3 linked regions of the Saccharomyces cerevisiae S288C genome follow. The gene in region 1 interacts genetically with each later gene. Each region holds a gene or a part of one and is shown in the gene's direction. Other genes may lie near its edges.

Evidence for each region.
Region 2: mutations in AFT2 (region 1) and DIT2 together harm fitness more than expected from each alone (negative genetic interaction), as found in Saccharomyces cerevisiae (2 studies listed by BioGRID).
Region 3: of AFT2 (region 1) and FAB1, changing one enhances a phenotype caused by changing the other (phenotypic enhancement), as found in Saccharomyces cerevisiae (one study listed by BioGRID).

Annotation. Positions count from the first base shown.
Region 1 is NC_001148.4:167,588-171,191, reverse strand, and holds AFT2 (Aft2p), read left to right. Parts: upstream 1-1,853; coding exon 1,854-3,104; downstream 3,105-3,604. Other genes in the region: YIG1 (Yig1p), read left to right, coding at 37-1,422. UniProt on the Saccharomyces cerevisiae protein: Transcription factor required for iron homeostasis and resistance to oxidative stress. With AFT1, activates the gene expression in response to low-iron conditions, also called iron regulon.
Region 2 is NC_001136.10:1,271,734-1,275,678, reverse strand, and holds DIT2 (putative cytochrome P450), read left to right. Parts: upstream 1-1,975; coding exon 1,976-3,445; downstream 3,446-3,945. Other genes in the region: DIT1 (Dit1p), read right to left, coding at 1-1,077; URH1 (trifunctional uridine nucleosidase/nicotinamide riboside hydrolase/nicotinic acid riboside hydrolase), read right to left, coding at 3,594-3,945. UniProt on the Saccharomyces cerevisiae protein: Involved in spore wall maturation. Thought to catalyze the oxidation of tyrosine residues in the formation of LL-dityrosine a precursor of the spore wall.
Region 3 is NC_001138.5:182,783-190,501, forward strand, and holds the start of FAB1 (1-phosphatidylinositol-3-phosphate 5-kinase), read left to right. Parts: upstream 1-1,719; coding exon 1,720-7,719. Other genes in the region: IGD1 (Igd1p), read right to left, coding at 1-79; YFR018C (uncharacterized protein), read right to left, coding at 349-1,440. UniProt on the Saccharomyces cerevisiae protein: The PI(3,5)P2 regulatory complex regulates both the synthesis and turnover of phosphatidylinositol 3,5-bisphosphate (PtdIns(3,5)P2).

The DNA of each region.
Region 1 (3,604 bases):
AACACCCTCAAGAAAGAAAATAATCATAACGAAATCATGGGTATACCTATGCAAATATACCAGGATGGGAAGGGGGTGCAATTTTACCACACGAGATATCAGAACGTATTTGACGAACGGGCGAGCAAGTATGGCAACTACACGGTGAATAATGATTACCCACAGCTTCCAGATACGATAAAGGAACATATCGACCAGCTTACCTTTAGCAATGTCGGAGAGGATGGTGGAGATGTTGGAAACTATTCTGAAGAAGACGATGATGGTGACGAAGAAAAGGAACTTGAAGATGTTTTTCGAAGTAACCGTGGGTTGGAATTTGTACGGATTAATAACTATTTTACTACCCACGATTTACAAAGTTTCAAAAGTTTTAGAAATTTCAATAGCAAGTACTGGATTTTTTATTCTAATCAAGCAGAGGACAAAAAATTACTGCTGTATGACTTTAACGGCCAACATTTGATTTTTATTAAGCAGCAATTTTACGGGCAGTTGAATTTACTGCTATCGGACGCAATAATATGTATGGACTGCAATTTTGGTTATAATTCAAACACCATTCAAATTTTAGTTGGATTTCAGAATGGAAAGTTGTTAAAGCTAAACTGCGACTTGAACGGAAACGTAAACAATCACTTGCTTTTGAAGGATCCTTCAACTTCCTCTCATCAAAGCCACCTATCTATATTAAATGTCTGGGCAGGTTTGTTGCCACATTTCGTTGTTTCTTTTAGTTTGAAAGATGGGCTGCTAATAACTTCTTTAGATCACCAACAAAGCAATGGAAGTTTTCAAAGTTTCCATACCAACATTGATTTGCCTGTAGATCTACGCACGACCACAAATGTCAAGTCCGTTTTAAATTTCCCTCAGTTTACTTTATACAAAGGAAATGATATGATTTTCCACTGCAAGAATCTATTAGGATCGGATGCTTCCACGCTAAACAAGGAAATAAACTTTATGCTTAAAATAGACGAAGACGTTCAAAAGATCGACTATCTTCTTAAAACGAATCACATTTTACTCGAAACCAACATGAGATATCTGTCCATTCCAACAAGAGACCCCATAGAGAATTCAAATTCTTCTCCACCCGTCTCAGACAGCGAGGTTTATCCAATATTTTACAAGACACAAGAACTTCATGTCCATGCTTCAGGAACAGGACGTCAGATAGCAAACAATGGGAAGTATATTTTTATAACCGAGCAACATCTCTACGGAACAGCGTTATCGGTATACAAGTACTCTATATCTTTCAAACGGTGGCTGTTCGTGGGCTACTCAGACATTAGGGCCAAATACGGTATAAGGAGTGTCAAAGATCTCTTTGTTGGTAACTGTCCCTCTGTAAATAGCCCAGTGCTGACAATTCTTACTGATGACAATAACATTCAAACAATTCTTCTTAAATAAAGGTTAAGGAAATGTAAATAAAAAAAATAACAGTGACATTAATTTGTATATATCTCAACTTCTTCACTTTAACCTGTCTGAGCTGTTTGGTTTTGAACTGGAAGCACGTTTCTCATTTTATTGAACGATACCAGAGCCATTCATTATTCGATTGACGGTAAGCGGTATTGTGCGAAAAGCAAAGGGAAAAAATAGAAAGAACAAAAAAAAGAAAGAAAAAAGCACCGTAAAAAAAAAAATCGTTTCGTGGGCCGAGATCGGTAAAGTGGCTTTCTTTTAGTCAGAATTGATTTTCTTTTGATTAAGGCAAAAACTGTGCAAATTAAACTGATGGACCTATACATAATAGTGAACACGACTCATTCAAAAAATTTGTTGTAGTGACCAGAAACTCTGGCGCAAATTAATCAAGAGAAAGCGACCCCCAAGAAATGAAAGCAAAGTCGATGAAGAGCATAATATCTGTGCCAATATCAGTGTCTAAAACAGGGAAAATGAAGTTAACAGCATCTCCCGATAATCTAGCATCTATGATGTCTAAAGACCAAAATAAACTTATTCATTTAGACCCAGTTCCGTCTTTTGAGGACAGGCACGAGATTAAACCGTGGCTACAGAAAATATTCTATCCTCAAGGAATAGATATAGTCATCGAAAGATCAGATAGTAGCAAAGTTACTTTTAAGTGTAGGTCAGTACGATCGAAAGTAGGGTTGAACCCTAAATCCAAAGGTTCCTCTTCAAGATCCCATGCATGTCCATTTAGAATTAGAGCAGCCTACTCTGTGCGGTTACAGAAGTGGAACGTGGTTGTTATGAATAACATACATTCACATGAGCTGAGATTTGATTTGATTACTAAAACGGATGACTATAAAAAGTTTAAGGAAAATCTTCGTCAGAAGAACGACGAAAAAGCCATCAAAACATTTGATGAATTAGAATATAAAGCAAGTCTAAACTTACCACTCGTCACACCAATTATTTCTTGTGACTGTGGGTTAACCAAGGAAATTGAAGCTTTCAATAACATTTTTCTCCCACTATCAAACCCCCCTTTGACGTCTAAAAAAAATTTGCTCAAAACAAATAAAAACTCCGTTTCTAAAATAAAATCCAGACAGATGGATAATTCGAAACCTAGGCCAAGGTTGAAAACGAAGTTGGATGCGGATCTACATGATACCGGATTTTTAGACAATTTCAAAACGCGGAATTCCTGTGTAAAGATAGAGAAAGAAGATTCTTTAACGAACTTAAACGAAATTGATTTTACGAACATGTTTTGCAACGACAATTTCATCCAAAATTACAACCAAGGCCTGATGGAACTTTTGACAGAACCTACACCAGGTCCTTCGTCCTCTTCTTGTATACTTCCTTCAACACCAACGAGGCCCTTGTCACAAAGCAAAATGGATATAGCCCTGTCAGAATCAACAACATCTTCACCAAATTTTATGGAAACAGACGCTCCTTATGGAGATGAGATCATTAAAGTTTCCAAAGATACCAAAAGCAACGCACCAACTGCTGATACAGATATTGCTACGAACTTAGGCAAAGAGAGAAACGAAAATTTTGGCATGTTAAACTACAACTACGAAGCGTTGCTTCATTTCAACGATGAGCATTTTAATGAATTAAATTCTATTGACCCAGCCTTAATATCAAAATATTAATTATTTAGTTTTCAACTCATTAAAACGGTATCACGTTTAAATATGTGACAAGATCTGATGGACATGAATAATGGTGATATCAGCACCATCGAGGGATTTTGGACCTTAGACTTTTTAAAGCTACGGAGGACTTAAAGCATGTCGATACAAATAAGATATATCATGGCTTCATGCGCTCAAAAGTTTTATTCTTCAAGTTTGTTGATTATAATATGGTTCACGTGCGCTTCATCTTTTCATAGGTAATGCACCGCAACATTCAATTATCTAAAAAACTTTCAGGCGTGCCGGTCCCCTAATTTTTGCACTGAGATCATGAGATCAGTAAGTAAAAGCTCATATAGGAAATAATCATATAGAAAAAAGCAGAGGAATGATATTCGAACATTTTCTATACATCACCCCTCCTATTTTTAGATGAATCTCTAAGATCTAAATGCCCTCAACTTAAATATGATATTGAATTAAAATGAATTGTAGTATAGAAGATATTTAGGGCA
Region 2 (3,945 bases), on another chromosome or scaffold:
TGTATCACAGCCTTTCATCAAAATCTGTCTCGACAAATCGGACTTAGGACAGATTTGAGTTCCTGTGTAGTGTGCAACTTCAACATCACTAACCCACTTTGGATCGAAAACTTTACTAGCTGCACCGCTAAAAAATAAATCGTTCAATCCACAAAAGCCAATGGCGTCAACACCAGGTATAGCCACTCTTTTATACAGTTCGTGCAATTTGGTCGTGTAAGTACTCACGACGTCATCATCGACCCCAATACAATCGGAGAAAACATGGCCATCACTAACTATCCAAATTTTCATACCCGGTGGATATATCTTGACAAGGTCTTGTGTGGCTTTTATTAATCTTTTCAAAGCGAGTTCTTCGCCTTTGTCAGGAACGGAACCGTACACTTTTTGCTCATTAGATGACTTACATGGAAACGCTGGCAAGATGCATTCAATTCTCAAATATCGATCGGTAAAATATCTTGAACGTTCAATAAAATAATCACGGCCACCAAAATTCCATTGATCATTAACTATTGTGTTTTTCAAATTTTTCTCAAAAAAATCTGCAAATAATTCGTGATACTTAACTTCTTTGGTTACAATTGGATGTTCACTTAGAGATAATTGAGATTGGTCTAAAATATGATATACGAACCAGTTATTGAAAGAATTTTCATTCTCAACTGTTGTAACACACCCACGAATCTGGCGTTCGTCATCGCGTGTATATTCAGAAATCTTTATTGCCACTCCTAAATTATTGGTAAATTTATTTGCTAAAGAAGCTGGCAAAATTCTTTCAGAAACCCGTCCACTTACTTCGGATTCAGAAAAGTCCAGATTGTGAATAGTGTTGATAAAGTCGAGCCATTGGTCTCCAAATTTACAATTCTGTTTTTCCTCTAAAGAGTAAAAATCGTCACATTTGTCGCTTCTGCAATACAGGGCCAGAAATTTACTATATGTAGACAAATCGGCCCCATTATGGGGAATATCAATATCTTTCAACGTATCAGTCGATGAAGAAAATGAAGAGGCAGGTGGTGATATTGACTGCTCGGAGCTTGAGGGCAAGTTGCTAGTAAATGTCATTTTTGTTAATGTCTCGACAAAGCTTTACCGAATTAGGATATTAACAAATTGTTTATTTAGTCAAGACTTTGCGGAGGAGCACAATTTATGTGAAAATTTATTTCAATATTTATACATCATTTTTGATTCTGAACCTATTTTCAGAAATTGTTTTACAACATCGTAGGGCAGGCACTATGCCCTTGCAAATTTTATGATATACTGTCCACTGAAAGCAATGCAATCAAAATTCAAATAAACTCCTGAGGGGCCAATAATATAAGGATTTTTAGCACGCGACGTCTGGGATTGAGTGCCATGTATGTAAAGACGAGCAATTACTTTATGTTCCCTTATTTGTGAGGGGTTCCTGGTTTGCTTTTTTCGATCAATTCTCCTGATATTATTGAGTAAATTAGACAAATTGTTAGGAAACAACAAATTCCGATGCTTACTTACCCCTTAAATTTTCTCATTGCTCTTCATTGAGGTTGCATACCTCACCATATTTGTCATAGAAGGTCCCTTAAGGCGCCTTTTTATTTTTTCTTGGCAAGAGAACCCTTTTATTTATGGCCAGACGCGCGTCGCAAAAAAAGGTAAACATCAATAATTTTCCTTCCAGGGACTCTCAATAAAAAGACTGTAACTTGTATTATCAAATTGAGAAGCAATTACGTATTCCACCCCTCATTACTTCCCCGATACAATTTATTTTCACTTCTTTCGATGAATGCAGTGATTTCTATCTTTCCCGAAAATTACAAGCCACGGACCACAAGAGGAATGACTGGTCATCCTGATGCGAATAGTATATTAGGTAGTGCAAAAAAATACATTAATTTTCTTGAAATATTTTCGTTTTTTCAAAATGGTATTTGATTCAGACTAAGAGAATAAATCGAAAAAAGCATTAAAAATGGAGTTGTTAAAGCTTCTGTGTTTGATTTTATTTCTTACTCTTTCCTATGTCGCCTTTGCAATCATTGTCCCACCTCTAAACTTTCCCAAAAATATACCCACCATCCCATTTTATGTAGTATTTTTACCAGTAATATTTCCCATTGATCAAACGGAGCTATACGATCTTTATATTAGGGAATCAATGGAAAAATACGGTGCTGTAAAATTTTTCTTTGGTTCACGGTGGAATATTCTCGTTTCTCGTTCTGAGTATCTAGCACAAATATTCAAAGATGAAGATACTTTTGCGAAGAGCGGTAATCAAAAGAAAATCCCATACAGTGCTCTTGCCGCTTACACAGGGGACAATGTCATTAGCGCGTATGGTGCAGTTTGGAGAAACTACAGAAATGCTGTGACAAACGGGCTCCAACATTTTGACGATGCACCTATATTCAAAAATGCAAAAATTTTATGCACTTTGATAAAAAACAGACTCCTAGAAGGACAAACTTCGATCCCTATGGGACCTTTATCCCAGAGAATGGCATTGGATAACATTTCACAGGTTGCCCTTGGATTTGATTTTGGTGCTCTAACACATGAAAAAAATGCTTTCCACGAGCATTTGATTCGTATTAAAAAGCAAATATTTCATCCATTCTTTTTAACTTTTCCATTCCTTGATGTTCTTCCTATTCCTTCAAGAAAAAAAGCCTTCAAGGATGTTGTTAGTTTTAGAGAACTTCTCGTTAAAAGAGTTCAAGATGAATTAGTCAATAATTACAAATTTGAACAAACTACTTTTGCTGCCAGTGATCTAATTCGTGCTCACAATAACGAAATAATCGACTACAAACAGTTGACCGATAATATCGTCATTATCCTTGTCGCTGGCCATGAAAACCCGCAGTTGCTATTTAATAGTTCACTCTACCTTCTAGCCAAATATTCAAATGAATGGCAAGAGAAACTCAGGAAGGAAGTAAACGGCATCACTGATCCAAAAGGCTTAGCAGATTTACCCTTATTAAATGCTTTTCTCTTCGAAGTAGTAAGAATGTATCCTCCTTTGAGCACAATTATTAATAGATGTACTACCAAAACGTGCAAGTTGGGGGCGGAAATTGTTATACCCAAGGGCGTATATGTCGGGTACAACAACTTTGGAACCTCACACGATCCCAAAACTTGGGGCACAACAGCAGATGATTTTAAACCAGAAAGATGGGGTTCAGATATCGAAACCATAAGGAAAAACTGGAGAATGGCGAAAAACAGATGTGCTGTGACTGGGTTCCATGGAGGCCGAAGAGCATGCCTAGGGGAAAAACTAGCCCTAACAGAAATGAGAATTTCTTTGGCTGAAATGTTGAAACAGTTTCGATGGAGTCTTGACCCTGAATGGGAAGAAAAATTAACTCCCGCTGGGCCTCTTTGCCCTCTTAATTTAAAGTTAAAATTTAACGAGAATATAATGGAATAAATATAAAACATGTAGAATTGTATATATACGCATATATGTATACAATCGCGACAACTTTTAGTGAAACTTCTTTGTATCCAGTGAAAATGAAAGGAACAGAACCTGACCAAAGGTCAGTAGAAAAAAAAAAAGCCTTTTATAGAAGTTCTTATCCAATCGTTGACATTTTGTCTGCTCTATTTAATGCTTCAAAAATCTGATCCCAAAAGTACTGGATATTCAAATCGAGACCAATTATTGTACCAACATCACTGTCATTTGGATATTCTTTTTCAATGATAATTTTCCCTGAGTTTTCGTTGAAAACATCATCAATGCAGGATATGTCCATTCTCTTGTAGCGAAATCCAACCGCAGACGATGGATCCCACCCATAAAATTCCAAAAGCGGCATCAAAGCTACCGGATCATGTATAGGTGGGCCCGATTCAAATCCTTGCATATCCTTGTAGGTATGAGCAAAAAATTGAAAAAGCTCCAAAAACAATTCTCGTAACTTG
Region 3 (7,719 bases), on another chromosome or scaffold:
CGATGTTGAGGAAGTCCTGTGATCTTTCAAATGTGGGTGACGTGCTCACTTGGGGCGTGTTCAAGTGGGGATCTGTCATGAGGGTGAGTGTATGCGTGTGTGTGTGTGTTGCGTAGATGTGTGATTTACTATGTGTTATGTAGCTGCTCTCATCGCTGCTGATAGTAGATCTCTCGCGCAAAAATTACTCAGGCAAACCTTTACTATACCTACATATATATATATATATATGTATATGTATGTGTGCAAGCTTTTCAGAGTGGTGCACTGACATTGACCGGGCCACTCATTCCACCCCACATCCCCCAGATCAGGGGGAGATGTTAACGAAAGGAAACAGGGGATTTATCACTGGTTACGGGAGCGTAGTGACTGTACTACAAATTCGCACACAAGCAGCGCCCAGTGACGAGTCTCCGCGGCGTCTAAGTGCCGGAAGTCATCATCCACGGTGTGCCATGTACTTGGGAATGGTAGCGGGATTGCATGTAATACGGGTACTCCGGCGGCCAGGAATGGCGTGTGGTCGTCTCCGATGACCGAATGCCCGAGCCCTAAAAATCGATAGTCCGTGGGGTCCAGATGTTTGCGTTGACGCGCGACTTCGGCGGCTAATGCCGATTCGCCGTTGATTTCATCTCCACGTCGAAATAACAAGTCATCCTCTATTCGATTGAGCAGCTGATATTCTTGATGTGTCTCTGCATAGTAGCTGGGCACTAGCGGCTCCTCTTCGCCACTTCCTAAAAGATCCAGAAGAAATAATAGGCGAATTCTTGTCATCGTGCCGTCAGCAAGCCATTGGGCGGCTAATCGGCGTGCTCCATAAATCGAGTCCTCGGGGCCCCACTCTTCAATGGCCTCCTCTCCATCAAAGAATACGATCTTTACACCCAAGGTAGAATTCGATACTACAGTGTTCGACTCTAAGTCATTGTACTCTTTCGTGCGCTCGTGGCACGCGATGTGCGTTAGGAACTGGGCCGTATATAGCAGCGCGGCACACGAGGCGGCACTGTCGATAGCGCCCACCATCCCCGTGGGCGCTATCTTGGTATCATAATGAGCAGCGAGCACTAAGTACTCGCTCGCATTGTTTTGTAATGTCATAACAAGGTTATTGAAGCGGTAACCGTTCTCCTCAAAGGCTTGCGTCTCAACGGCCCATTCTCCCGCCAGCGTATTGTTGAAGTGCTCGATGATGAAGCGCTGGATCTCGCGCGAGCCTTCCGATCCGGGTACGCGCGTTCTGTTAAAAGGCAACAGCAGGTTCTTGGTACTTTTGTTCCAACCGCTGTCTGGGTTGATAGCTTCGTTCAGATGCGCTGCATGGTACTGCTCATATGACAACTCCCACCCAGTTACCCTATGCACCTGAAATAGCACCAACAGGTACGCTAGACCAATTAGTCGCAAAGGCAATACGTACTTCATTCCCATGCTTACGACCTTTTCAGTCTTTTTATTTCTTTTCTGTTGACTCTCTCTAACTCTCCCTCTCCCCCTCTTCTTCCCATGAAATGTATCACAAGCCGTCTTATTCCTTTGCTTCTTATATTCTTATGTTCCTTCCTTCGTCTCGCCTCGAAGGCAACGCAAACGCAATGTACTTCTTGACGAACGCGAAAACCATATGGAAAGTAAATAAAGGGCCAAACAAAAAACTATTTCGAATAGCAAGGTAGCTTCCATCCTGTACATGCAAGACCGTCACACAGCATGTCATCGGAAGAACCCCATGCATCTATATCCTTTCCAGATGGCTCACATGTCCGGTCGTCCTCCACTGGTACTTCATCTGTGAACACAATCGATGCTACCTTATCCAGACCGAACTATATTAAGAAACCGTCCCTGCACATTATGTCGACATCTACGACGTCGACTACGACGGATCTAGTGACAAACCCAATTCTGAGCAATATCTCCGTGCCAAAAATAAGCCCCCCCACATCATCCTCGATAGCAACAGCGACATCAACAAGTCACGTGACCGGCACTGCGTCGCATTCGAACATTAAAGCTAATGCTAACACTAGTACCAGCGTGAATAAGAAAAATTTGCCGCCAACAACTAGTGGGAGGATACCCTCTAGCACCATCAAGAGATATCCGAGTCGCTATAAGCCTTCTCACTCGCTGCAGCTGCCCATTAAGAACGACTCCAACTTTAAACGATCTAGCATATATGCCTCCAAATCCACTGTTACTGCTATCCCCATTAGGAACAATCGGCCAATTTCCATGCAGAATTCCTATGCGCGCACTCCTGACAGCGATCATGACGACGTTGGCGATGAAGTGTCTTCGATAAAGAGTGCCTCTTCTTCGTTGACCGCATCCCTGTCCAAGAGTTTCCTGTTCGCATTTTATAACAACCGCAAGAAGGACAAGACCAGTAACAATGGTGTCCTCTCAAAGGAATATTGGATGAAGGACGAGAGTTCTAAAGAATGTTTCAGTTGTGGTAAAACGTTTAACACTTTCAGAAGGAAACACCACTGCAGGATATGCGGCCAAATTTTTTGCAGCAGTTGCACTCTCTTGATAGATGGTGATCGATTCGGCTGTCATGCCAAGATGCGAGTATGTTACAATTGTTATGAGCATGCAGACACATACGAGGACTCCAGTGATGAAGAGAATGATTCTACAATGCAATTGAATGAGCCAAGGTCTCGCTCTCGCTCTCGTTCTTCCAATACCAATCCATATTCTCATTCACATTCGCATTTGCATCTCATTTCACAGGACAACCATAACGGTACCGATCTCCATGATCCAGTAGCAGCAACGGATAACCCTCAACAGCAGAATGAGGTCTACCTATTAAATGACGATGACGTACAAAGTATAATGACCTCAGGTGAAGATTCTAAATTGTTCATTTCTACACCCCCACCACCACCGAAGATGGCCATCCCAGCAACAAAGCAAGGCGGATCGCTGGAAATCTCATTCGATTCGGAAAACGATAGGGCTTTGCATTATCAAGATGACAACCCCGGTCGCCATCATCACCTCGATTCCGTGCCCACAAGGTACACTATCAGAGATATGGACAATATATCACATTACGATACCAACTCTAATTCCACTTTGAGGCCACATTATAACACCAATAACAGCACTATTACCATCAACAACCTCAACAACACTACTTCCAACAACAGCAACTATAACAATACCAATAGCAACAGCAACATCAATAATCCTGCGCATTCCTTAAGAAGGTCTATTTTCCATTATGTAAGCAGCAATAGTGTTAACAAGGACAGTAACAATAGCTCTGCAACACCCGCTTCGTCTGCACAGTCTTCTTCCATACTGGATCCTGCCAATCGTATTATCGGGAATTATGCTCATAGAAATTACAAGTTTAAATTCAACTACAATTCCAAAGGTCCTTCGCAACAAAATGACACGGCAAATGGAAATAATGATAATAATAATAATAATAATAATAATAATAATAATAATAATAATAACAGTGCCAGCGGTATTGCTGACAACAATAACATTCCCTCAAACGACAATGGCACGACGTTCACTCTAGATAAGAAGAAAAGAAACCCACTGACAAAATCTAAATCTACGTCCGCTTACCTAGAATATCCTCTAAACGAGGAAGACTCTTCTGAGGACGAAGGTTCCATGTCCATATATTCTGTATTGAATGATGACCATAAAACTGACAATCCAATTAGATCAATGAGGAACTCCACAAAATCTTTTCAACGAGCGCAAGCTTCACTACAGCGGATGAGGTTTAGAAGGAAAAGTAAAAGCAAGCATTTTCCCAACAATTCGAAAAGTTCCATTTATAGAGACTTAAATTTCTTGACCAATAGTACTCCCAATTTACTTTCTGTAGTAAGCGACGATAATCTATACGACGATTCTTCTCCTTTGCAAGACAAGGCCTCTTCATCCGCTGCAAGCAGACTCACTGACAGAAAATTCAGCAATAGCAGTGGCAGCAATAATAATAGCAATAGTAATAGCAATATCAACACCGATCCTTGGAAGAGAATCGCTAGTATATCGGGATTCAAACTGAAAAAGGAAAAAAAGAGAGAATTAAATGAAGTCTCTCTTTTACATATGCATGCCCTATTAAAACAATTATTGAATGATCAAGAAATTTCCAATCTTCAAGAATGGATAACCCTTCTAGATGGCGCTTTGCGTAAAGTTTTAAGGACCATCCTGAACGCGAGGGATTTGAACACATTAGATTTTAGACAAACTTACGTTAAGATAAAAAGAATTAGTGGTGGATCTCCTCAAAATTCAGAATATATCGACGGGGTTGTCTTTTCGAAAGCATTGCCGTCGAAAACAATGCCACGGCATTTGAAAAACCCAAGGATACTATTAATCATGTTTCCACTGGAGTACCAAAAGAACAATAACCACTTTCTAAGTATAGAGTCCGTCTTTAGGCAAGAGCGCGAATATTTGGATAAACTTGTTTCGAGATTAAAGTCATTACATCCTGATATTATATACGTCGGCGCCAATGTTAGTGGGTACGCGTTAGAACTATTAAATGACTCAGGCATTGTCGTACAGTTTAATATGAAACCACAAGTCATTGAAAGAATTGCCAAGCTAACAGAAGCAGATATTGCCATTTCTGTGGATAAGTTGGCTACGAATATTAAGATGGGTGAATGTGAAACTTTTGAAGTTAAAAGCTACATTTATGGAAACATCAGTAAAACATATACATTTCTTCGGGGCTGTAACCCAGAACTTGGTGGAACAATTTTGTTAAGAGGTGATAGTCTTGAAAACTTGAGAAAAATCAAACAAGTCTCTGAATTTATGGTCTACGCAATTTTTTCATTGAAGTTGGAAAGTTCATTTTTTAACGATAATTTCATACAACTTTCTACAGATGTTTATTTGAAGAGAGCTGAATCCAAAAAACTGCAAGTTTTCGAAGGTTATTTTGCAGATTTCTTGATCAAATTCAATAACAGGATTTTGACTGTATCACCAACGGTAGATTTCCCCATTCCCTTTTTATTGGAAAAAGCCAGAGGCTTGGAAAAGAAGCTCATAGAAAGGATCAATCAATATGAAAGCGAATCTGATTTAGATCGGCAAACGCAACTAAATATGCTTCAAGGCTTAGAATCGACTATCACTAAGAAACACTTAGGAAATTTAATAAAATTCCTGCATGAAATGGAAATTGAAAATTTAGAGCTTGAGTTTCAGAAGAGAAGTCGTCAATGGGAGGTTTCATATTCATCATCACAGAACTTACTTGGTACGGGCTCACACCAGTCTATAACAGTTCTCTACTCAATGGTTTCAACAAAGACTGCCACACCTTGCGTTGGCCCTCAAATTGTTACTATTGACTATTTTTGGGACAGTGATATTTCCATTGGTCAGTTTATCGAGAACGTCGTGGGAACTGCCAGGTATCCCTGCCAACAAGGCTGTAATGGTCTGTATTTGGATCATTATAGAAGCTATGTTCATGGGTCAGGAAAAGTAGACGTTTTAATCGAAAAATTCCAAACTAGATTACCAAAATTAAAAGATATTATCCTCACGTGGAGTTATTGTAAAAAATGTGGGACATCTACTCCGATTTTACAAATTAGCGAAAAAACCTGGAATCATTCTTTCGGTAAATATTTAGAAGTCATGTTTTGGAGTTACAAAGATAGCGTGACAGGAATTGGGAAATGTCCTCATGATTTCACTAAAGATCATGTCAAATACTTTGGTTACAATGATTTAGTGGTTCGACTAGAATATTCTGATTTAGAAGTTCATGAATTGATAACCCCACCACGCAAAATAAAATGGAAACCTCATATCGACATCAAACTGAAGGTGGAACTATACTATAAGATTCTGGAAAAGATCAATAATTTCTATGGGAGTGTCCTAAGTCGGTTGGAACGTATTAAATTGGATAGTATGACTAAAGATAAAGTTCTTAGTGGACAAGCTAAAATTATCGAATTGAAGAGCAATGCTACAGAGGAGCAAAAATTAATGTTGCAAGACCTGGATACTTTTTACGCAGATAGTCCTTGCGATCAACATTTACCATTGAACCTGGTTATCAAATCTCTATACGATAAGGCTGTAAATTGGAACTCTACATTTGCGATATTTGCAAAAAGCTATTTGCCTTCTGAAACTGATATTAGTCGTATCACGGCCAAGCAGCTGAAAAAACTGTTTTACGATTCTTCAAGAAAAGACAGCGAAGACAAAAAATCACTTCATGATGAAAAGGCGAAGACGAGGAAACCAGAAAAGAACGAATTACCGTTAGAGGGATTGAAAGATGTCGAAAAGCCGAAAATTGATAGCAAGAATACGACAGAGAATCGTGACAGAACGAACGAACCACAGAATGCCGTGACGATAACCACTTTTAAAGACGACACTCCAATTATTCCAACAAGTGGTACTAGTCACTTGACAGTTACACCTTCTGCATCGTCGGTTTCTTCTTCTTTGACCCCTCAAACCGAAGAACGTCCGCCAATAAGCAGAAGTGGAACAGGTATATCTATGACTCATGATAAAAGCACTAGACCTAACATAAGAAAAATGAGTAGTGATAGTAGTTTATGTGGACTAGCATCACTTGCTAATGAATATAGTAAAAATAATAAGGTGAGTAAGCTAGCTACATTTTTCGATCAAATGCATTTTGATGCCCTGTCGAAAGAATTTGAACTGGAACGTGAAAGGGAAAGATTACAACTTAATAAGGATAAATACCAAGCCATACGATTACAAACATCCACACCAATTGTGGAAATTTATAAAAATGTCAAAGACGCAGTTGATGAACCGCTTCACTCTAGAAGTTCAGGCAATAATTTGTCATCTGCGAATGTTAAGACTTTGGAGGCACCTGTGGGAGAACATTCCCGGGCCAATAATTGTAATCCTCCTAATTTAGATCAAAACTTGGAAACTGAATTAGAAAATTCCATTAGCCAATGGGGAGAAAACATTTTGAACCCCTCTGGAAAGACCACCGCAAGTACTCATTTAAATTCTAAGCCAGTAGTAAAGGAAACTTCAGAAAATCCAAAGTCAATAGTTAGAGAATCAGATAATTCAAAGTCGGAGCCGCTTCCACCTGTAATAACAACAACAACTGTCAATAAGGTAGAATCCACTCCACAACCTGAAAAATCATTATTGATGAAAACCTTGAGCAACTTTTGGGCAGATCGATCTGCGTATTTGTGGAAACCCCTTGTTTATCCAACCTGTCCTTCGGAACACATTTTTACTGATAGTGACGTTATAATCCGCGAAGATGAACCAAGTTCCTTGATCGCATTTTGCTTAAGTACTTCTGACTATAGAAATAAAATGATGAACTTGAATGTCCAGCAACAACAGCAGCAGCAAACAGCAGAAGCTGCTCCTGCCAAAACAGGAGGAAACAGTGGAGGAACTACGCAAACCGGGGATCCTTCTGTTAACATTTCTCCCTCAGTTTCTACAACTTCTCATAATAAGGGGAGGGACTCAGAAATTTCATCCTTAGTAACCACCAAAGAGGGCTTGTTGAACACCCCTCCCATTGAAGGCGCCCGAGATAGGACCCCACAAGAATCACAAACGCATTCCCAAGCAAATTTAGATACTCTTCAAGAATTAGAGAAAATTATGACAAAAAAAACAGCCACACACTTGAGATATCAATTTGAGGAGGGT